3 linked regions of the Notamacropus eugenii genome follow. The protein of the gene in region 3 purifies or fractionates together with the protein of the main gene of each other region. This does not show direct contact. Links are inferred from orthologs where the notes say so. Each region holds a gene or a part of one and is shown on either strand. Other genes may lie near its edges. The genes, in order: MDC1, RNF8 and WRAP53.

Region 1 (8,085 bases), about 6.3 Mb from region 3:
TGAATAATAACACAAAGAACAGTAAGTCATATATATACATATGTGTGTATGCATGTATTTACATATACATATATTATTTTGAAGGTAGGTATTTCAGGTTTTATGCCCATTTAGAGAACTGGGATTGGACCTGTGGTTTCTTTTGTACAGTGAATTTCTTCCACTAGTAAAAATCTATACTTCTCTGCAACTTGTAGTTTTAAGAGAATTACCTAGGGCACTGAGAAGTTGTCAGGCCTGCACAACCAGCCCTGGGAGCTAACGACCCTCAGACTGATTATAGCATGCCAAAGGATTTGGGGGAAAGGGGGGGGGGGAACCTACAAAAAAATGTACAGGAAAACATCCTTTGTATGTAGAAGAAATCCTTGCCACAAGTTGTTCAGGCCTGAGTTAAGTGGCTTTATAATAGTCTGTAAGATCTGCATTCCCTATTCTATTTTAAAAGATGTTTTATTATGTTTTGTTTTTTTACACTTTATCACTTCCCAATAATCCTTCTTAGTATAATATTCCATTACATTTGTATGCCACAATTTGTTCAGCAACTCTCCAGTCAATAAATTACTTTTAAAATTACAAGCATTTTTTTCTGTTGTTTCTATTCCCACTGAATAGGGAATATTCTGAAAAAAGAAAAAAATATTCTGAAAAAAAGAAAAAAAATCCTTGTAACAAATATGAATAGTAAAATAAATTCCTACATTGGCAATGTTTTAATATGTATGTCTTATTCTGCATATTTGGTCCATTCCGAGTAACATTCTTCACCAACAGTCTTTTAGAATCATAATTGGTCATTGTGTTGGTCAGAATTCTTATGTATTTCCAATGTGTTTATTTTTACACTGTTGTTATGGTACAAATTGTTCTTCTTGTTCATTTAAGATCAGCTGATAAAAGTCTCCAGAACTGTCCATTTTATCATTTCTTACAGCAGAATAGTATTCCATTATATTTGCATACCAAAATTAGTTTAGCCATTCCCCTAGTAGATAGTTCCCCCTTACTTTCCAATTTTTTGTTACCTCAGAAAGATCTGTTACAAATGTTTTTCCCATTAACCCATTTTCATATGGGTTCTTTCCCTCTCTCTTCATAGTAAGTTGTATGGCTGGGTCAAATCATGTGCACAATTTAGTAACTTTTGGGGGGCATACTTCCAAATTGCTTTTCAGAGTGGCTGGACCAATTAAAAAACTCCACAAACAATGCATATATCTGTTTTCCCTGAGCTCCTACAACATTTACCGTTTTCCTTTTTTGTCACCTTTGATGATCTGATGATTTGGAACATTTTTAAAATATGGCTATTGATAACTTGTATTTTTTCCTGTGAGACTTCCTTGTTCATATCCTTTGTCATTTGGGGAATGACTAATTCTTCCAATCAATTTCTTATATATCCAGAAAATGAGACAATTATTAGAGAAACTTACTGCAAAACTTAACTATCTCTCTGTTAAGCTTAGCTACATTGATTGTGTTTGTGCAAAACTTTTAATTTTACATAGTCAAAATTGTCCATTTTATCTTATGTAATCCTTTGGTCACAGACTTTTCCCCTATCCAGATAAGAAAGGTAATTTCTTCCTTTCTCCTTCATTTTATTTATGTGACCTTTTAAATCTAAGTCATATAACCATTCGGATCTTATCTTGGTAAATAATGTGAGGTGTTGGTCTAAATCAGACTACTTTCCAGTTTTACTAGCAGTTTTTGTCAAACAGTGAATCTCTTCCTCAATAGTTGGGGTCATTTGACGTAATCACCCTGGTGAAGTCCTTCCTCACTTCAGATCTAGACTATTTCTATAGCCTGCTGGTTGGTCTCCCTGCCTTTCCCCACTCCACTCCATCCTTCATTCAGCAGTCAAATTGATATTCCTAAAGGGCAGATTTGACCATTTCATCTCCCTATTCAATAAACTCCACTGGCTCCCTAATACCCAAGATCAGATATAAAATCTGTTTGGCTTTTAAAGCCCTTTGTAATTTGGTTTTTTCTACCTTTCTTGTTTTCTCACGCCTTATTCCTCTACACATACTTGGCAGTCCTGTGACATTGGCCTCCTTGCTGTTGTTCCGAGACAATCCATCTCCTGACTCTAGGCATTTTCATTGCCTGTTTCCCAAGCCTAGAATGCTCTCCCTCCTTACAGCCACCTCATAGTTTCCGTAGCTTCTTTCAAATTTCAGTTAAAATCCCACCTTCTGCAATAACTCTTTCCCAAACCTCCATTCTCTTTGTGCCTTCCCTTTAAGGTTATGCCCAATTTATCATATATATATATATATATATCATTATATATTATTATATTATAGTATAGTATACATTATAGTATATATTTAATAATATATTATATTATATATTATAATATATTATATATATATCATGTTTATACACAATTATTTGCATGTTATTTCCTTCCCCCCCCCACCATTAATATGTGAGCTTCTTGAGAGCAGGGCCCAGTTTTGTTTGTCTGTGGACTTTTTTGGATCCCTAGGGCTTAGCACAATTCCTGACATATAATAGACACATAATTAACAAATACTAGTTGATGGGAAAAAAAAAACTTTATAGCAAGTTTCTTTGATAAAGGCCTCACTTCTCAAATATGTAATGAACTAAATCAAATTTATATATTAAAAAAGAGCTATTCCCTAACTGATATGGTCAAAGAATATGAACAGGCAGTTTTCAGAAGAAGAAATCAAAGCTATCAATAGTCACATTAAAAATTCTCTAAAGCCTTATTGATTAGAGAAATGCATATTAAAACAACTCTGAGATACCACCTCATACCTGTCAGATTGGCTAACATGACAAAAAGAAAAATGACAAATGCTAAAGGGGATGTGGAAAAAAATGGGACTATTGATGATACTGTTGATGAACAATAATGAATTGTTGATGGTATTGAAAACTAGTCCAACCATTCTGGAAAACAATTTGGAACTACATCCAAAGTTCTATAAAAGTGTGTGTACCCTTTGACCCACCAATACCACTACTAGATCTATATTGGAAAGACATGAAAGGGAAAGGGACCTGTTTGTATATAAATATTTGTAGGAGCTCTTTTTGTGGTGGCAAAGGTAACCGAAAATTACCACACCAGTAAGTTGTGGTATATGATTGTAATGGACTAATATTGTGCAATGAGAAATCTTGAAGGGGATGGTTTCACAAAAACGTGGAAGACTTATATGAACTGATACAAAATGAAGTGAGCAGAACTAGGAGAGCATAATACACAGTAACAGTAATATTGTAAGGATGAGCAATTGTGAAAGACAGCTATTCTGATCAAGACAATGAGCCAAGACAATTCCAAAGGACCCAGATGAAAAAATGCTATCCATCTCCAGAGAGAGAGAACTAATTACCTCTGAATGCATATTGAAGCATCCTTTAAAAAAAAAGACTTTATTTTTAATGTTTTGCTTTCTTTTGTAACATGGCTATTATGGAAATATCAAATTGCTTGCCTTCTAAAGAATGGGGGAGGGGTGGGAGGAAGGGAAGGAATTTAGAAGTCAAAATTTTTTTAAATGACTGTTAAAAAAATTTTTTTACATATAATTGGGAAATATTTAACAAAACACAAATAATTGTTAAAAATAAACAAATGCCAGTTGACTGATGAGTTTATGGAACATTAAGGCTACTATATTGTTTGCTTTTGTATGTTGTTTACCTAATCTGTTTCATGTTTTTTTACTTTTTTTTTGGAAGGGGGAAGGCAAGGCAATTGGGGTTAAGTGACTTGCCCAAGGTCACAGGGTAAGGGCATGAGGTCGAATTTGAACTCAGTCCTCCTGACTCCAGGTTCGGTACTCTTCATAGCGATATTCACCTAGCTACCCTTTTCTGTTTTATCTTTTAACCAGTACTAAGTCAACTTGATGATGATTATTTTTGTAATAAAGCTTGAGATCTGGTACCCCTCCCTTCTCACTTTTTCCTTATTTCCCTCAAGATTCTTAAACCTTTCTCTAGATGAATTTTCTCATTTTTTTCCATCTCTAATTATTTGGTAGCTTGATTAACATGGAACTGAATAAATAAATTTAGATCACTGTTATTTTTATAATATTGGCTTTGCCTATCCACAAATAATATTTCTCCAATTATTTAGATGTCTATTTTCAGAAGGTGTTTTATATTCATATAGTACCTGTATTTTGTACATTCTGTAGTTTTTTTAATAGACTGTACAGAAGTACTCATGTGAATTTATTTCTAACCTGCACCTTTGCTCAAGTTATATTCACTGTTAGCACCCATTTTGCTTTCAGTTTTTACTTCCTTCCCCAAAGGGCTCAGAATATTTTGGCAAATATGAGTCCTTTCTGTTTTTAATGTCCTTGGAGTAGAAACAACAAAAGAATTTTTTACTGTGCTTGACATCTCACTGCCCTTCCAGCACTGACTGTTATCCAAAATGCTGAGTCTGAGGCGAAACTTTTTTTTAAATTTAATTATTATTCATGGTTACACCGTTTTACACATTTGGGATAATTCCCTACTACTGCTGGGTGCATAAAACGTTCGTGCTGGTTGTAACGATTTTCCCCCAAAACCTATAACTCCTCCTATCAGCTGCACTTACTTAGTTCTTGCAAAAACTGTTAAATTTGATGTATCGAAATTATTTCTGTCTTTTGTCATCTCACACTCTCTAACCCCTGTCTGGTTATGCATTGTCCCCTTCCATTTTCTCATGAGTCAGCAGGAGCCATGTCTGGGAGGACCAGGAATGGCTGTTCCGGTCCCTTCTGACGGGGTGATGGGCGGTTTCCATCCTTTCCACGCAGCCGCAGTCAGCCGGCGCCACACTCAGGGGTTACAAGGTGGATACTGCGCGGGAGCGGCAGCGGCGGGCGGAGGTTAACCTTCGAATCCTAGCGCTTATTACCAATCTGAGAGTGCCGTTGGAGGCGCGCGAGGTGGCCCCACCTCCACCGTCAACCGAAGCCAATGGGAAAGCGAGGCGCTGCAGCGGCCTCTTCCCCAAGTGAAAGGCAAGAGGCGTTTTGCCTGGACATGTCCCAACTCCTGCCGGTAGGCTCGACCAATCATTGTGAGAATCGTCCTTGAGGGACGGTGGAAGGAACCAATCAGAGCGTCAGCGGTCGTGGGCGCCTCACTCTTTGCTTGTTTGGGTGGCGCGCGCGCGCGCGCGGACCCGAATCCTGTGAGTTCGGGGGCTCTTAACTACCGGTCTTGATTGGGCGCCATTTTGGATCCCCTCTATTGAGGGAGGCGAAGTGGCCATTAGGTTGGGAAAATCTGGGCGGGAACTATTCGGAGGTTTGCTTCCTGGGATTGCTGGCGCCCTTACTCTAATGGGTATAGGTCCGAGTGCCCTGGGCCTCGCTGTAGGATCTCGGGAAATCCGATGGTTTGGGTCACCCAGGGAATGGGGGGTCCGGGTGACAAGCGGCCCTGGGGGATGTGAGGACGGGAGGCCGTAATTTCCTTCGAGTCGCTCGTGGCCGAGACTCGGCCCAGGGAGAGGGTGTGGCCCAGGTGGGCGGGTGACGGACGGCCCTAGGTTCCACCCCCACCCTCCACCCTTCCACCCAGGTTCCCACCGAGTGAGGATAGGGGGTCAACTCCAGCACCTCAGAATTGGGGTTGCCCCTCCCCCTTTCTTTAAGAGGTGAAAGGGGATGTTCAGGATTGGTTTTAGTTCAAGCCCGTTGTTTTTTGGTTTTTTTTGTTTTTTTACAGATGAGGAAGTTTAAGACCCAGAGAACTTTAGTGACTTGATCAAGGTTACACAGGTTGTAAGTAGCAGTCAGAATCGAATTCCCTTGCCCCACCCGCCCCACCCCCTCCACGCGTCTCTCTTCCGTTACCTTGGCCTAGATCTCCTAAGGGCGGAATCCTTGGTGCGATAGGTTTTCCCAAATGCCCCATTGCTGCCCTGGCCACTCTCCCCACCCGTGCCCTGCTGTCTAGTGCTAGATTGATTATTCGATGTCTGATAGTGGTAGCGTGTTTTCCCCTCCCCTTTCCGCATCCCAGATAATGGAGGACACACAGTTGGTGGACTGGGAGGCTCAGGAGGAGGAGCCTGAGGATTCTAATAGCTCTCCGCCACGTTTCGGCCTGGAGCCTGTAGGGCGGCTGCACCTGTTCAGCACTGTTCGAGGACCTGAGAAAGGTCAGAGGGTATTGGGTACTAAGGGGGGCGGGGTGCAGACTTTGTTTTCATGATTGATAAAAGGCAAAAGAGAATGTGGGGCCTGTTCATGTGGCAGGGGAGATGGAGAGGGAAAATTTCTCCTGGTTTAATCTGATTCTTTGCAGGATAATTTATAACTAACCTTGATACATTTGGGGAATATTTCCTTTGGTGATGACTTAGGAGAATCAGGCTAAAATAAACAGGAGGAGGTAAACTAAAATAATGATCTGCAATGGCTTATGCTTTTCTGATGCTTCTGTCCCTTTTACCCCCCTACCCCATACATTGTGAATCCTATATCTTTCTTATAGAAAATCCTATAGATTTTCCTCTATTTTTTTCTTAAAGAGAATGAAAATGTATGATGAGGGAAGCCAAAGGAAAAAAAAGTCACTGAAGAGCAGGAATGGGGCAGATCTCTGGCTTTACAAGTAATACCTCATTGAATTTCTGCCCCCAGATTTCCTGCTGTACCCTGGGGAGAATGTGGTTGGCAGAATACCTGGCTGTACTGTGGCTCTGCCTTTTCCGTCCATCTCCAAACAGCATGCAATAATTGACATTCCAGCCCAAGGCAGGGCACCTATCCTTCGAGATTGTGGGAGCCTCAATCATACACGACTTCTGAGACCTCCCAAACTCCTAAGCCCTGGAGTGGGCCATCAGTTGAGGGACCAAGACTTGGTACTCTTTGCTGACCTGCCTTGCCAATATCACCGTCTGAGTGCCCCTCCACTTCCTGGCCCCCGGGGGGCTCTAAGTGTGGAAGAGACACCTAAGGTTCCAGGTATGGGGGGACCCCAATTCCAGGGGATCTTATTGGCTGAAGATTCAGAGGAGGAAGGTAAATTTTAGGTATCAGGAAGTGGTGGGTAGGGAGAAGAGCCTGGGAAATATGAAATTACAAAGTCCATTCTTCTCCCCAGATTCTCCTTTGGACGGGAGTGTCAAGGTACCTGTCACATACTCCCCGTCCGAAACTGTAGTACCAGAGAGGTGAGTACTATGGGGCCAGACAACTGAATTTTGTAAAGGGAAGAAGGAAGCTACAGGAGGGAGAACCAAGGGCATAGTAGCTAGTCCTTTAATAATAGTTATTTGAGGTGGGAAGGGAAGAGAACTAGGAACTAAAGTTTTGAGTGCCTGAGTCCTTTCTTGGGATCTGAATTCCAAGTTCTCTATCTTTTCTCTTTTCCCATCAGTGATGTGGAGGGAGCTTCACCAGGCACCAAGAACCCTGCACTGCCTCTTACTTTCATTCTGGATAGTGACACAGATGAAGAGGAAGATCCTCCCCCGAGAGAGCCCTCCTTAGCTACCAGGAGAGGCTCTACTATAGATAAAGAGTGGAGTAAGACTGGTGGAGAGAACCACCCCTTAGGTGTGAGAAAGGATAGTGATACAGATGTGGAAAGAAAAGAGGGCATCATGGCAGTTGTCTCTGAGGCACATCTGAAGGAGAACTTGCCCACTGACAGGGACAGTGATACAGATGTTGATGATGAGGGCAATCTCCAAAGGACTTCAGCTGTGGCACCTTTGGTAGATAGCGGTACAGACTTGAAAGAGGAAGGTCTCTCAGTGAGTCCAGCTAAACCACACTTGAAAATGTGCCAACCTGATAGGGGGGACAGTGATACAGATATAGAAGAGGACTCTATCCCAGCAGCGCCATCTGTAGTCTGTCTGGGAAAAGATCAGGTACCCATAGATGGGACAAACAGTACAGATATAAAAAAGGAGGGGGCCCCAACAGAACTCTCCACAGTACATCTTGAGAAGGACCAGCACCCCATTGGTGGAGATGGGGACAGTGATACAGATGTGGATGACAATGGATCTCTGACATATGTGAAGAAGAGCCAACTTCCAGCTGAAGAGGA
Region 2 (7,909 bases), about 17 Mb from region 3:
ACTAAAAACACACAATCTAATCAGATATGATAAAATTCAACCAAAAATATAAAAAATTATTCCTCCTCCAATACACATTAGTTGTGTGAACCACTTAATTTCTTTGGACCTCAGTTTCCTTATCTGTAAAGTGAGAGGGTTGGACTTGATAACTCACCTTTCTAGTTCTAAATCCACAAACCTATGATTAAGCAAATGTGGCTTTATTTTTATTTATCTTTTATTAATGAACAACTTCACCCTAAGTTTATATTGTGCTTTGAGATATTAGCTAATCACAGCATGAAGTTAGTATTATTAGAATGACCTTTAAAACTAAGCTTCTGTTGCCAGAAACAATGTATGTCACTTATAAAAACTATCTGCACACTTAAATTTGCAAATTTTACAGCCTATTTAGAAATCTAGCAAATTAAAAGTTTCAAAAGGTTTTCAACTCATTTGTTAAAAAAAAAAAAGAAAGGTACTATCTTCTGAATAGTTTGTAAGAATTGACACCAGGGAAGATGGAAGTTATTAATAAAACAAATTCAACAAAAACTTATGAATAATTGTCGTGGCTGGGTTTGGAAACTGTGTTTCTTGATTTAGCAAACATAACCAAATGAAGCATTTCTTCCATTCGGATCGACAATATCTTTATATGAGGTTATCTTTTTCAGCTATGCCAATCATTAAGATAAAGTATCAAGATACACCACAATTAGCACTAGGCCCCTGTATCACAATCTGTTTAACCAAAATGTATTGTTAAATAAAAATTTGAAAAATTGTTTATTTCATCTATCTCATTTTTTTATGTTTTGTATGTTTTATAATATGTCTATATGCATACAGTAGTATGCAAATAATTTATAAATACACAAATATAGGGGTGCTAAAAATCCCTTTCCAGTAGAGGTTTACAAAAAATATATAGTTTGAGTTCATTAGCACAATGGATAGGAAATGGGCTTGAGAATCTGTAAGACCTGGGTTCAATTTCCTCTTCAATCTCCTAAATACTGGGTGTGTGAGCGGAGCAAATCACTTCTCAGCACCTACCCACCTGCACTGGTAGAGGGAGTTTCTTGAGGAGAGCTTCTTATGCTAATAAAATCATAGGTTTAATCCAAAAACAAAAATGCTGAGTCATAGATATATTTAAATCCACAGAAACAAATGAGATCACCAAAGGTAATAGAAGGGAGCCAAACAAGGGAAGCAGACTCAAAGGTCTAGGTAGAAAAAGAAAGAATAGGGAGAACCATCAAGGAAACCAGAGGATGAAGGAATATCCAAGAAAAGAGGTGGCTGACAACGTGAAAAAATGAAGAAAATTCAAGAAAGAAGCCTTAGAAGAGGCCATCAGACTTAACAGTTAAAAAAGGTTATTTGTTTAGCAGTTTGAGCAGAATGGCAACGTCAGGAACCAAAGAGAAGCGATTTGAGAAGTGAGGTACTGAGCTTTTAGTGAGGCAATGAGTTTTTCCTAGGAGCTGGGCAACAAAAAGAGAAACAGAGTGTTGTATGTGTCTGGGGGTAAAAAAGCAGGGTTAAGGGAAGGACTGTGTAACATCTGAGCATGTTTTTAGGCACAAAGGAAAGAGCCAGTGGATGAGGCCAATATCCACCAAGAGAATAAAAGATGGACTAAACTGCTGAGGGGCAAGCTCCGGCCAGGTGAAAAGGAAAGGGCTCAAGAAGGGTAATATTTGGCAAGCAGAAGTGTCACTTCCTTGTAAGAAGGTATCTGAACTGTTGCCATGGTCTAGTGATCTCACCTTTGCAACATCTTTCCCATCTGTTCCCCTTCTCTCCTACGACGCTGTCATAGTACAAGACTCTCACCACCTCCTATCAGGACTACGGCAATAGTCCGCTCGTTGATCTTTTTCCCACAAGTTGTCTCCCCCTTTCAGTCTATCTTCCACTAAGTTGTCAAAAGTGATCTTCCTAAGGTATAGATCTGATCATGTAAACACACCCCTTGTTCTCCCCCATCCCCATAAATTCCAGAGGCTCTCTATCATCTCCAGGTTCAAATATTAAATCTTCTGGTCTTCAAAGCCCTTCACACCCTAGCCCCACCACCCACTTTTTTATTCTTTTTACCACCACCCCCCCTTCTTCCCCCTAATCCCCCACACATACAATTCGATCCAGTGATACTGTACTCTGTTCTGCCAAAAAGACACCTAGTCTCCGGACCCAGGGCTTTTTCACTGGCTCTTCCCCAGGCCTAGAATTCTCCTCCTAGCTTCCTTTAAGTCCCAACTAAACTCCTATCTTCTACAGGAATCCTTTCCCAAGCCCTCTTAATTCTGGAGTCCGCCAATTTCCTTTTTATCCTGTCTAAAGTTTGCATGTTGTCTCCATTAAGACTGTGAGCTTCCCAGCGCAGAGCACGATGCTCGGGACATAGTAGACACTTCATAAATGTTTACTGATTGACTATGAAGGGATCTAAGACTGGGGTGGGGGGTCGAAAAGGCTCATCATAAAACAGGCACTGATTTTCTTGCCTCTCATTTCACTCCTCTAAGGCCACCCCCTCCCTTCCTTCTCCCGGCAGGGCAGATTTTTTTATTTTTTGCCCCGCTTCTCCCCCTCTGCTCTTTCAGCAGGACACACACTCCCCCCCCCCCCCCCTCTCCCTCCGGTCCTGCGGAGGCAGACACACTGGGTTCACCCCCCGGGCGGCCTCATCTCCCACCCCACCGTCCTGGGGCCTCATTCTCCTCCCTCGGCCCGGCCAGGCCGCCCCTCCCCCCTCACCTCGCTGCGATCCTCGAGCAGCAGCCACTGGGCGTTTATCCCCACCCGCCGCAGGCACCAGGCTCGGCGGCCGTCGTAGTCACCGCCACCGGGATCCCCCATGGCCGGCCAGGCCGGCACAGACCCAGGCCCGATTCCGGTCTCGGACCCGGACCTAATCCCGGCCACGCTCTCAGTCAGCACAGGGCAGGGCCCCTGCCGGGCCCCCGGGCCCGGCCGTCCCTCCTCTGCCTGCCTCCTGGAACCTCTGGCTCCGCCGCCGCAGCCATGTCTAAGTAACAGACCGAAGCAATCAACGCTTCCGGCCTACGCAACTGCAATCGATTCCACGGACGCTCGAAGGCCCCGGCTCCCGTTCCCGCCCCTCCCCGCCCCAGTCGCGGCACGTGAGAAAGTATCAATCCTTCCCTTACGCTCCTCTTCCCCCACCCCCGCCCCGTGAAAGCACTAGCGCATGCGTCCTTGAGGCATTAAGGAGGTGGGGAGGGAAACGGGAGAGAGGCGGGGGAGCCGTGGGGGCTTCTCGTCCTCTGTTGTCCCGGGTCGGGAGGCGGGGTCTCCTCACCAGCTGGCTGTTCTCGGTGAACTTCTGCTTGTAGTCAGAGCCACAGAGCCGCGCTGATGTTCTCCCAGCTTTATGGAGAAAGTAAAGTTGCGGCTGAGACATTGTTACATTCGCTGGATGCCTAATTGCGGTGCGAGAAACTGACATGCTGGGCCCAGACAATGAATGGGGGAGGGGGAGGGGAGAGGGGCAAAGGGAACAAACGTTTATTAATCGCCTTCTGCGTGCCAGGCACTTTGTAAAGCGCTTTACAAACATTTCATATAAGTGCTTATTGTGTTCATGACGTTTGAATTGTATTGATTCAAAAGTTATTTTTAAAATTATGAGCGTTTGGTAGGCTTAACGTATTTACTTTTAATAAATACACTACTTGGAAGTACTTGTACTTTATTTCCAAAATGATGTTATTTTATTCCAAAACAAAAAGAATCAGTTAAGCCCTTACTTTGTGTTAATATACTGGGAACTAGTATTTCAAAGACAAAAATTAGAAACCTTTCACAATACATTTTAAGTGGAGTTAAATAATTTATGAGTCTTCTCAACCCTGAAAACAGATGATCAGAGTCTCTTTTAACTCCGAAAATACCAAAGAGCTCACACAAGTTATCCCAACCATAGTTAACTCTGGAAAATAAAATAAGACCAAAGAGCTAACAGTAGTTAAAGCAGAAAAGCATTTTTTATTTTGTTAGAAGAAGGAAACTAGACACAGGTGCCTGGGGCCTCCTCTGATACAGAGAAAATCTACCTTAGTGTGGTCAAATCTCAATAGATATAGTAGTGGTTAAGCAGTGAGCTGGAGCCCGGACACTGAGGAGTAACTACAAAAGTGAGACACGTTTGATTCGCAGCAGGGCTTCCTGACTAGAACATGAGTCCTGCAGGTGTTTGTTAGAGCTCAGGTACCAACTTGTGCTGGTGTGAAACAGTTCTGGAATTTTGTTGCAGATGTGTTCATCCAGAGGGTGAGCAGAAAGGATTGTTGTTATGCTAGGCTCAGGACACAGCTTGCTTGCTGGGCCTTAGCACTGGAAAACAAGGTTGTCTCCTAAGAGTAAAGAGAGGGGAGCAAAAAGAGAGCGCTGGTCTTGGCATGCGGATCCTGACATTATCATGCTTCATATGTTTATTGTAGAGCTCAGCTGTAAAATTAGGGGTTTGTGTTAGATGATCTCCAAGATCTGTTTCAGCTCTAAATCAATAGATCCAAACTTTATTCCTCCCCCCAAAAAATGGACATATAAAACCTGTGACTTAAAATTGCTTATCTTTTTTAGTGCATAACTTTTTTTCCTTTTTCAAAGTGAGGCTTAGGGAGGTAATCTATATTTGGGGATGGTTTCTGTTTGTGCAAATAGAGTATTTCACATTGGCTTCTCCTCTTTCAACGTCATTTAATCTTATTCTGTCCTTATTGAAACAGAGATAAGGGCCCCCTGGCAGGAGTGTGCTGTTAAATGTTTAACTGGCTCTTCCAAAAAAAATATGCAAGACACTTTTAAGTTTAATCTACATTATTAACATTTTCTCCATCACTTTAGACAATCAACAAAACAATAATTCAAGCCTTTGTTGATTTCAGAGCATTTAGATGACCATAATAGGTTCTTCTTTTCCCAGCTGGCTCCAGCACACTGCCTTGGGTACACCTCATATATGGTGCATCTTTTCATACTTTGCTAAGTTAGACCCCTTTGACGTTTTTGGTTAGTCTCCTTTGCTTTTACACAGAATGTTTAACGCTGGTTTTATTAGTTCATGTCATTCATAAAACAGCAAGGCACCCTGAGAGACAGGAGGCCATCATGTGCCTCACTCAACTCAACAGAACCACCATCTTGACCACCACCTCCCCTCAGACCCAGATAGAGACAGCCTAGGACGATGAATACAAGAGCTTGAAAATAGCCATGCTTCCAGACCAGCCATCATCCTGGGAAGCAGCCCCTGTGAAGATACAGCCTGTTCACTGCTCCTGCAGGTGCTGCAGCCATGGCTACTGAAGATGCTTTTCTCACCAAAGTCCTTGTCATTGTCAAATGGTTTGGCATCAGAAACTGACAGATTTTATCAGTGGAAATGACATTAAGAAACATAACTAACCATATGCTTTGCCACTGCCCCCTAAGGATCCTGGGTCTTTTCCATCTGTCTTGGAGTTGAACCTTTCCATGAGTGTTGTCTCTTCAAGTTGAACGTGAGCTCCTTGAGAGCAGGGACTGTCTTACTTTCCTATTAGAATCCCCCGCACTTAGCACAGTGTGTTGCACACAGCAATGTTTAATCAAATGCTTTGTTCATTTGTTGTTTGAGTCATTATTTCTGAGACAGTTTTGGTCCCCTTCTTAGATTCTAAGGAGAAAGGTTCAGAGGCAATCAAAGACTACTCAGTTTGGGGAATAGCCAGAGGTGCGGTTTGGGTAGAAGGTAGACTATGTGAAGAAAAGTAATGTTAAATAAGGCTGAAAAGGTAGGTTGTTGCCAGATTGTGGAGGACATTAAATATCAGGCTAACCACTTTGCATTTTATTCTAGGGGCAACAGGGAATCGCTATTTCTTCACTTTTTTTGAACAGAGAAGCAATCTGCTCGGACCTGTATCTTATGAGTATTATTTTGACAGGTTGTGGAAAATGGATTGGAGAGAGATGACCAGGGAGGAGGCAAATTAGCAGGTTAATAACAGCAGTCCAGAGGAGAAAGTGTTGAAAGAAAGAAATGTGGCATAGGTAGAATGACAGGATGTGAGAAATGATTGGATGTTGGGGGTAAGAAGAGCATAGTATCAGGGATGATTCTATAGTTTTGAGCCTGAGCGCCTGGGAGGGTGATGCAGCATCCTTAGTAGAACTAAAGAAGTTTGGAAAGCAAGTGAGTTGACTTTTGGTCAGGTTGATTTTGAGATTGTTATAGAAATTTTTTATTTTCTTTTATTATTTGAGATTCAGGGCCATTCCTTTTTGCAAATTCTGGCTAACTAAAACCCTGTCTTAATATCAACCTATCCCATAAGATGTGAAAATTTACTTAAAGCCATAAACATTCTTTAGATAAAAAGCCCATGGAAGAATCTCAGCTGTTCCTGACTCCTTGCCAACATGTAAATCTGCCTATTTGTGAATAGAAATGTAGTTTAATCTGTAACCTCACTTAGTTTACCTGTAGAGTCTGTTTGACAAAGTTTATTTCCTTAAGGCGATGATGAGAGATCATGAACTAAGAGATTATAATTCAAGTTTGTTTGACTTTTATGACATTGGAAAAAGTATGAGCTGATGGATCTATCTTATGTTTAACTTATGTGATCTAAAAGAAATTTACAAGATTGCAATATGTAAAAGCATTATTTCTCTTGTCACTCTGATATAATTTTACCTATAAGAGGGTTTGTAAGACGTCTAGTTGGGGTTCAGGTTTTGTCTTTCTTTGAAGCATACTGTGCTTGAGCATATAAATAAAACCTAGGTTTTTTACCTTTAAAATTTCTGCATTGGGGTAAATATATACAGTATTTGGCAGCAGTAACCTACCATATGAACTCAGAGAGGAAATATTTTTCTCCCATAAGAAAATCTAGATTAGAAACACTCCAAATCAGAGACAATGGGAAACTGGTGCTGGACCCCCATAGCATCCTGGGGGAGGACTGTGAACTTTCCTCCAGGGAGGGTTGATTCTTTCCAAACCCCTCCCAATGTTGGTGGCCTTATCTGCCTGCTTCCTTCTTAGTCAGAGCATCCCATCATCTCTCACTTACCCCAAGGGTCATTTGTCTACCCAAGAATCTCTCCATCTGGCAAAGGGATTGCTTTCCCCCAAACCAGATGAATTGCCTTGCCTTGGAACCCATGCCCTGGATCATCACAGGATCAGCTGGGGTGGGGAGGAGCTGGGGCAAAGGGGAATCATCATTGAAAGCAGCTTCCCCTTGAAATTTGTAAGCTGCCTCTCTTCCCCCAACCCTCCACTCTCAGTTTAATAGAAATAAAGCACCAGTTCAAAACCAGACTCTGCCATTTAATACCTGTATGGCCTTGGAACTTCACTTTTCTTTGTGGACCTCAGTTTCCTCCTCTGTAAAATGACTGAATCAGATTGGATGATCTCCAAGGTCCTTTCCACCCACCTCTAAATTTATGGTTCTGTGATCCTACATCTCTTCCTTTGACATTCCTCTGTCTTTGATGCTTACGGAAATTTATCTTTCACTTGAAGACATCTTGCCTCTTGACACGCTCTCCAAGACTGACTTTGACTTGGCTACTTCTTTCATTCTACTGGACACAGAGCTAGAAGGAGGAGGAGTTGGAATACTCCTAGTGATGTGGATACAAACAGTGCCTTAAGAGTTAAAAATAAAATTAAGAGTTGACTTTGTGAGGCCACTAGTTTATTCTGTAACCTAAAGCCCATGGAAGCTGATGAGATCACCAAATAAGACAATATGGAACAGACCCTTCCTTCTTCCTTCCTTCCTTCTTCCTTCCTTCCTTCCTTCCTTCCTTCCTTCCTTCCTTCCTTCCTTTCTTCCTTCCTTCCTTCCTTCCTTCCTTCCTTCCTTCCTTCCTTCCTTCTTTCCTT
Region 3 (8,081 bases):
CAGAGCACACCCACAGATTGCCTCTGAAGATGAGAAGAGGAGTGGGGGTTACCTAGTAGGGTTGTCCTCATGTGCACTTGAAAAACACTGCAATCACAACCCTACACCCCAAAAGACTGTCAGCAACTGGGTGAAGGATTAATTGACTTGGAATAAGAACGGAAGCAAGAAGACCAGTAAGAGTTTATTACAATAGTCCAGGCTGGAGCTGATCAAAGCCTGAACCAGAATGAAGGTGGAAAGGAAGAAAGAGACAGACTATTAGGGAAATCAAATCAATAATATCTGGTAATTAACTGAATGTAATTTGTTCTCCTTGCCTGTAGTTCAAGTGATAAGAGTTCACAGATGTGAAGACATGGGGCGGGGGGAAGAGAAGAAATAAGGTGTTAACACTCAATTCCTCTTCCAAATATGAACACCTCTCTAAATCAGATGAGGTAACTCCACTGAGCTGAAAACTGGCTAGGTTCTTTAAATAGCTAAGCCCTGGAAACAACCAGCAGCTTAAGAGTTCAGCAGTCAAGGCCAGGAACCAGCAATCAAGGAAGAATTTAGATATTCACCTCTTGGGAGAAGGGACTTTTTCTCTTCCCTGCTCCAACAAGCCAAAGAAATTTGTTCAGAGAGACATCCAACAGATAATGGAAAATCAGTTCAAGAAGAGTTTGAGACAGAATTGAGGTGACAAGAGAAATACTTCAGAAACTGATTCAGAAAAGTGGTCACTAATATCCAGAACTACCTTTGTGACTGATCCAGGTCTCAAAGCAAAAGAGAGAAACCAGCTATGGACTGAAGAGGGCTAGCCCTGGCAATCTAGAGTCAAGTTCCAGCTCAAGAAAGAGACAGACCTTAGGAACCACATAAAGCATCCCAGTCAGAAGAGATGCTGTGCTTACGAGGGAGCTTAATGATTCTAAGACTTTGAACAGTGGGGACTAGGAAGATAGTGGTAACATCAACGGAAATACATGCCAGGCTTCTTTCAAAGCTCAGCTCAAAAGCCACCTCCTTCAAAGGAAGCCTATCTTGACCCCCAATGCCTGAAGAAATTAGTTTATACACACACATGTATGTATATATATGTGTGTACATGTGCATATATATGTACGTGTGTGCATATATAAATTTTCTATGTATGTCTTACTTTCCCTAAGAGAAGAGAAAGGTCCTTGAGAAGGATAGAAGTAGTTTTACTCTTTCTTGTCCTACTATCAACTGGAACACTGCCTGACATATTGTAGGAGCCAAATGAATACAAAGGAAAAAAAATCCTCCCTTACTCTAAAGAAGCAAAGGATATGGGACACAGGGAAAATAATAGGAGGAAGATTTTAACTGTGGTATTAGGAAAGGCTTAGAGAACACAAACAGACTTCGAGAGAAGCTAAGGAAAATGTGGGAATGCTTTTCAGCCCTAGAAGAAACCTACAGAGTCTGGTTGGACCGTGTACAGGTTGTACAAAAGGAATAATAGGAACTAAGTCTGTAAAGATAAATTATGGCCAGATAGTGGGAAGTTCTACACTTGCATTTTATCCTAGAAGCCACAGGGAGACCAAGGAACATTTCTCTTCAAAAACTTGATGTGGGTCAGATTTATATAAAGAACTTACTATTTACAATCAGGAAGAAAAGACAGGAGGGAACATCTTCCGTAGGGGTGACTGAAGAAAAGGTACAGGTTCCGACACTCACCATTTCTGCATTCTCGAGTTCTTCCTCCTCATTATACAGCTCTGGCGGGAGGTTATAAATCCGCAAGGTGTTGTCGGCACTGTTGGTCAAGAGGCAGGAGCCATCGGGGGCCCTGGAGGCAGAGGAGATTTAGGCTGGATGCCTGGTAGCGGAGTGAGTGGGGAGGTAGGAACTCCTGAGTCCCTGAAGGAAATGGCAGGCACTGGGTCCTGGGAGAGAACTGAGCAATAAAGACCCAGTTCAACTTAATTCAAAGAAGACAGCCCAGATCCAACACCTCCCTGCCACTACAATCTTGTCCTTTCTCATCCAGTACCCTCCCCGCCATCTAATTCACCCAGAATCTTCCTTCTCCTCCCCCACCATTATCCTTACCATTTACAGCCTTTTAGGAAGTTCTCAGGTTGCAAGCTGAACTCTGACCAGGAGCCATTGAGGAGGCGAGGGGGCTGGGAGAAATTGTAGCTCCAGGAGCTGGAAGGAGATGAAGAGTGGGCGCTAGGCTTCGGGAGGACCAGGGGGAGGGGCAGGACAGCCGCGCTGATACTTAGTTGCCGAAGGAAGCAGGGCTGGGAGGGGAAACAAAGCCTTCCCCGAAGGGAGCAGCCCGCCTCCCAGTCACTTACTAGTACTCCTCGCACTCCGGGGCTGGCTCCTGCAGGACTTCCTCCGCCGGCTCACCAGGCGCGAATTCGGGGGCTGCCCCCTCACCCTCGGGGAGGCCGTCGGTTGGGGCGGGCTCCTGCCCTTCTCCAGCAGTCACCTCCTCCACAGGGGCTTCTGCGTCCGGTCCCGGAGGAGCAGGGGTCTCAGGGTCCCGCTCTTCCCCCAGCTCCATAGAAGGGGTCGGGGGCTCCGCTGGCTCGGGCGCAGCCTGGGGGGCGTCATCGCTGCAGCAGGGGGCGAGTGCTGGCTCCGTGGTTATGGTTATTGGGCCCTGGGAAACCTAGGGAAAAACATGGGCCAGGTGGGCGGCGGGGGGCGCTTAAATGTTTGTGTGCACCGCACCGGGCGCGCGCCCCCACACGCACGCGCACACACAAACAAACCCACGAGGGGAGACGCGGGACGCTCCGAGGCGAGGCCTGCTGGGGGAAGGGACTTGCCTAAGATCACAAAAGTAGTGGCGGCTAGAGCCGGCTTTGTGGTGCGCAATACAGGAGGCCGAGGGGGGCCCGCAGGAGTCGAGGGGCGCCTTGCTCTCCACGGGCTGGTCGGGCCACAGGTCCCGGCTCCCCAGCGCAGCCCAAGCCCAGCGGCCGCCAGCCAGGTCCCCCGGAGTAGCGGGGCGCGAGCCAGAGACGCCGTCTTTCTCTGGCGAGATTTCCGCCGGCCTTCTGATTGGTCCTTAGTTGAGCGGGCTACGGAACGGCCGTAAGACAGGCCTGGACTACAACCCCCATCGATCTCCCAGGACTTCCCCCGCCCCTCCGCCTCCGCGGCCACCCTGCTGCTTGCTGGGAGTGGTAGTTCCTAGTCACGTTAGGCAAGGCGCTCTCCCTTCCGCAGCCCCCCTCCCGCCTCTCACCTCCAGGGGACGCCCTGACTACACACTTAGGCCAGCCGCATGGCAGTGGGTGGGGAGGGCTGAGACTGAGGAGGAGAACGGCCCGCCTCCAGTTACTGTAAGCAGTGGAGGAGGCCGTCAAGTCCAGACTTGACATGCGGCGTGTATGGGTGCAGGAGGGCAGGGGACGGAATGCTGTTGGATGTGAGCGGGAGCCAGTCAGAAAAGGAACAAATGGAGCGGATGGTGCTGCTGTGGAGCAAGAGCTGACCCGGATGGTACCGCGGACCCTGGGCAAGTCACTCACCTCTCTGTGCCTCGGTTTCCTCATCTGTAAAATGGACCAAATGAGCTAACATGGAAAGTGCTTTGTAAGCCTTAAAGCGCTTACAGAAATGCTGCTGCGTTTGTCCTTCGTTCTGGAAGAGGACCATGACGTCCAGGTGATGACATGAGTTGCATTGACCTTGACTGGAGGGAGGGAGGGCTGCGCAGGTCACCAGCCTCACTTCTCCTCCAGAGCCATCTGGATCCAAAGACCAGATAGTCACCAGGATGCCTGGAGATGACCCAGGATGCAAGGGAGACCTTGGCCCTTTCAGGCTAAAGCCTTATCATTAGTTATGTCTGGAAAAAGCAGATAGATCATGGAAGATATCAAATGCTAAAAACACTGGCTGTTGCTTAGTGTTGTCTTCCCTAGAGACGCTGAGGAGTCACTGGAAGGTCTGTGGTGGAGAAAGTGATGTGGTCAGGCCTTTGTCCTAGGCAGACCATTATGGCAGCTTGTGGAGGATGGAATGGATGTGAGGGTACCCCACTGGTAAGTTATTTCAGTACTCAAGTGAGGAGTGATTGGAAAATATAACTAGGATGGTTAAGGATGAGTGAAGAAAGAAGAACAGATGGGAGATATGCCCTAAAAATAGGAATGTCAAGACCTAGTAATTTATTGAACATAATACTGGGGCAATCAGAATGAAGACTTGTCAAGGCTAGAGGATGTATTATGTGTGTGCATGTTACATACACACATATAGACTTGGGAATCATCTGTATAAAAATGATCATTGAACCCACAAGAACTAACTGAATCATCAGTGTATAGGGAGAGAGAAGAGGGCCCAGGATGGAGACTTGAGGGATACCCATATTTAGAGTGCCCATTCACTGACTGCCTATAGCAGGAGTGGAGAACCTGCAGTTTTAACAGAACAAATCCTTTTATTAAAAGGGATTTGTTCTGTGAAGTTTGGATTCAGTCAAAGGGCTGCATCTGAGGACTTTAGAGGGCCACACGTGGTCTCGAGGCTGCAGGTTCCTTACCGCTGGCCTATAGTTTCTAGTATAGAATGCAAATTTAAAGTCTTCCACAGTCTGGCTCTGACCTAATTTTATAGCCTTAGTTTATGCTTCTAGAACCTGTAAACATTCCAGTTTTTGCTGAATTTGCACTCCCACTCTTTCCTTAGCTTCTTTCGAGGTCTGCTCAAATGTCTTTCCTAATCTCAAAATCACCAGCCCCAACTGTTGTGCCTCCCATCAATGATAAATAACAATTTGTTGTCAGCAGATTCTAAGACGGCATAGTAGCTTTCCAGGGTCTTTCTTCTGATGATGATCCAGCAAAGGAGGGGACAGAAGAAGCAATCAGAGGTAGGAGGAGCCCCAGAAGAGTCACAGAAATGCTAAGGCTCTGGAGGGTATGATTATACAATGTCAGAGGCTGTAGAAAGGGTCAGTAGAATGAGGACTGATAAAAGATCATGGGATTTTATTAGTGGTAAGATGGAAATTTACCTTGCAGAAAAAACTTTTAATCGAGTATCAGGGTCAAAATCCAGAATGAAAAGTGAATAAGAAACAAGGGAGTGGGAAAAACAAGTGTAGAAAATTTTTTGTAGGACTTTGTGAAAGGAGGGAGAAATAAAGGCAGGATAATAATGATAGGGTCAAGTGAAGGGTTGCTTGTTTTTTAGTGTTTGTTCGTCCTTGGTTGCTGAAGAAGACCATGCCACCAGAGAAGTAATGACATGACTTGCCCTTGATTTTGTTTTGAGGGAGGGAGGGCTGTGCAGGTCACCAGTCTCACTTCTCCTCCAGAGTCATCTGAATCCAGTGACCAGATATTCATCAGGATAACTGGAGATGACCCAGGATGAGGAAATTGGGATTAAGTGATTTGCCCAAGGTCACACAGCTAGTGAGTGTCAAGTGTCTGAGTGAGATTTGAACTCAGGTCCTCCTGACTCCTGCACTGGTGCTCTATCCACTGTACCACCTAGCTGCCCTTGTTTGTTTTTTAATGATGAGAGAGATACATGCTCATGTTTGCAGGCAATGGGAAGGAAGTATTGACTCCTGATAACTCAAGATTGAAGAAGAGAGAGGGGGAATGATTAAAGAGTAAAATTACAGAAGAAGAGGAAAGGGGATAAACAAGAGTACAAAAGTAGAGGTCATGGCAGGGTAAGGTTCTCTTCCTTACAGACTCAATCTCTCTTTATCCACTAGTTTCTTCCCTCCTACCTACAGACATGTCCAGATCTCTCCTATCTTTAAGAAGCATTTACTTGATCCTACAAATCTCCTCAATGTAACCCTTGAAAGTAAAACTCGTAAACAAAGGTTAGGGGTGGGAGGGTCTATATTTTTTTTAATATTTTGATAACTGTATTTCATCAGAATTGGTTTCAATTGTAATCCCATATATTTTATCTTATACATTTATAAACCCTATTTTAAGAAGGGGTTCATGATGCAAAAAAGCTTAAGGACCTGATCCTGGAAAAAGCTGTCTATTGCTTCTATTTTATCACACACACCCCCCCACTCACTTTTCACCCTTTTATGATCTGACTTCTAAACTCAACTGTATATACTCTCTCCAAGATCACTCATGATAACTGTGTCCCTAAATCTACTTTTTCTCAGTTCTCATACTTCTTGACATGGCTGTTGATCAGTCCCTCCTTTTAGATGTTCTCTGCTCCCTCCTCCGTTTCCTTTATATGATCATGCTTCACCCTTCACATGCAGGTATACCTCAAGACTCTCCCTTGCTCATCCTTTCTGTATATTCTCTCTTATTCTTGTTAGTTCTTATGAGTTCAACTATTATCTCTATTCAGATGACTATCAAATCTATATATCCAGGTCCCATCTGTCTCCTAAATCCCAGGCCTGCATCTCTAACTACCTGCTCAACATCTCCACCTAAGATGTACCATAAGCATTTCAAACAGAACATCCAAAAGTGAACTCATCTTTTTTCCCTTAAGCCTTCCCCTTCCCCTAACTTCTGTTGAGGACTCCACCAGGTTTACAACTTAGGATTGCTGACTATGCATTCTCACTCATCCCTTCACAAGTTTTTTTCAACTTTAACCCTACAGTATGTTTCATATCCATTCCCCTCTCTCCACTTACCACAACTACTCTTGTTCAGTTTCTCATCACCTCTTGCTTAGACCATCAAGAGCCTCCTAAGTGGTCCCCCTGAATCCAGGCTCTCATCTCTCCGAACCTATCATCAGCACAGCTTCTGAATTGATATTATTAATGTACAGACCTAATTATTTCTCTTGGTTAGGCAGTGCCTTCACATTGCTGCTAAGAAGAAATAGAAAATCACATATTGGGTAATTAATCCACAATTGCCAGGGCTCCTGCCTGTCTTTCTTTTTTTAAGTTTTGCTTTATCTCATATTTTAAGAAACTACTTTTCTCCCTTCCAGTTCCTCCTAAACATAACAAATATGCATAATGAAGCAAAACAAGTTCTCATATTGGCCACGTCCAAAAAAATGTATGTCTCATTCTGGATTCAAAATCTATCATGTCTCTGGCAAGAAGTGCAAAGCTTGCTTCATCTTAGGTCCTCAGGAAATGTGATTTGTCATTTCATTGACAAGAGTTCTAAAGTCTTTCAGAGTTGTTTTTCTTTATAACATTATCATTGTGCACATTGTACTCTACTTCTGCTCATTTCACTCTGCATCAGATCACAGAAGTATAATCCGTTCCCTCTGAAATTGTCCATTTAATCATTTCTTATGGTGCAATAAATATTCCATTACACTCATGTACCATAATACATTTTAGCCATTACCCAATAGGTGGGTCCTCCCAGAGTTTCTAGTTTCTAGCTAGTACAAAAAGAGCTGCTATAAATATTTATATATTTATATATATGCATATATGTATGTGTATACATATATGTATATATATGCTTTTTGCCTTTTGTCTATGATCTCATAGGGCAAAAGTCTAGTAGTGGTATTTTTTTCATATAAATTGATTTATTTTCAGTTTTCAACATTCTGAGTAGTGGTATTACTGGGTCAAAGGCTAGTAACTTTGGAAGAATAGTTCTAAGTTGCTTTCTACTATGGCTAGACCAATTTATAGCTCCATCAACTATATGTTCTTTCAAAAAGTCCCTGCAAACATTTGTCATTTTCTTCTTTCTCCATCTTTGCCAATACTACTGGTATGAGGTGGAACCTTGTGGTTTCTTTCATTTGCATTTCTCTATTGACAGCACTGATAAATACACCATTTTCATGTTCACGAACTCTGAAATTCCCTTATCTGCTCACAAACCATTGTCATTCTATCTCTTTCTCTGCCTTAAAACCCCAAACCTTGTTTTTCCTCACCATAACCTCCAGTCCCTCATCCCCTGTACTAGCTATTCCTTCTCCATTTTGACCCCTTGTTGAACCAGTTCAACTCCATACTGTCCTCATTTCTACTTCCCATCTTGCCCAAACCTCAGCCTCGGATCACTCATACCACCCACTGCCTTTGCTCCCACACTTATGTGCCACTGAACAAAGCTGGAGAAAATCACAAAATCATGCTGACTGGG

The links.
Region 1: the proteins of WRAP53 (region 3) and MDC1 purify together in Homo sapiens (affinity purification with western blotting, with the first as the bait; 3 studies listed by BioGRID). This does not show direct contact. The link is inferred for Notamacropus eugenii from reciprocal best matches to the Homo sapiens genes WRAP53 and MDC1.
Region 2: the proteins of WRAP53 (region 3) and RNF8 purify together in Homo sapiens (affinity purification with western blotting; 3 studies listed by BioGRID). This does not show direct contact. The link is inferred for Notamacropus eugenii from reciprocal best matches to the Homo sapiens genes WRAP53 and RNF8.

What each region holds. Positions count from the first base shown.
Region 1 is NC_092873.1:84,570,286-84,578,370, reverse strand, and holds the start of MDC1 (mediator of DNA damage checkpoint protein 1), read left to right. Parts: upstream 1-5,039; 5' UTR 5,040-5,203; exon of another isoform or gene 5,204-5,364; intron 5,365-5,742; 5' UTR 5,743-5,795; exon of another isoform or gene 5,796-5,798; intron 5,799-6,039; 5' UTR 6,040-6,042; coding exon 6,043-6,178; intron 6,179-6,662; coding exon 6,663-7,046; intron 7,047-7,128; coding exon 7,129-7,198; intron 7,199-7,404; coding exon 7,405-8,085. UniProt on the Homo sapiens protein: Histone reader protein required for checkpoint-mediated cell cycle arrest in response to DNA damage within both the S phase and G2/M phases of the cell cycle.
Region 2 is NC_092873.1:95,059,501-95,067,409, reverse strand, and holds the start of RNF8 (E3 ubiquitin-protein ligase RNF8), read right to left. Parts: upstream 3,052-7,909; 5' UTR 2,860-3,051; coding exon 2,758-2,859; intron 1-2,757. UniProt on the Homo sapiens protein: E3 ubiquitin-protein ligase that plays a key role in DNA damage signaling via 2 distinct roles: by mediating the 'Lys-63'-linked ubiquitination of histones H2A and H2AX and promoting the recruitment of DNA repair proteins at double-strand breaks (DSBs) sites, and by catalyzing 'Lys-48'-linked ubiquitination to remove target proteins from DNA damage sites.
Region 3 is NC_092873.1:78,281,984-78,290,064, forward strand, and holds the start of WRAP53 (telomerase Cajal body protein 1), read right to left. Parts: upstream 3,030-8,081; 5' UTR 2,808-3,029; exon of another isoform or gene 2,648-2,807; 5' UTR 2,540-2,647; coding exon 2,328-2,539; intron 2,176-2,327; coding exon 2,077-2,175; intron 1,814-2,076; coding exon 1,702-1,813; intron 1-1,701. UniProt on the Homo sapiens protein: RNA chaperone that plays a key role in telomere maintenance and RNA localization to Cajal bodies. Specifically recognizes and binds the Cajal body box (CAB box) present in both small Cajal body RNAs (scaRNAs) and telomerase RNA template component (TERC).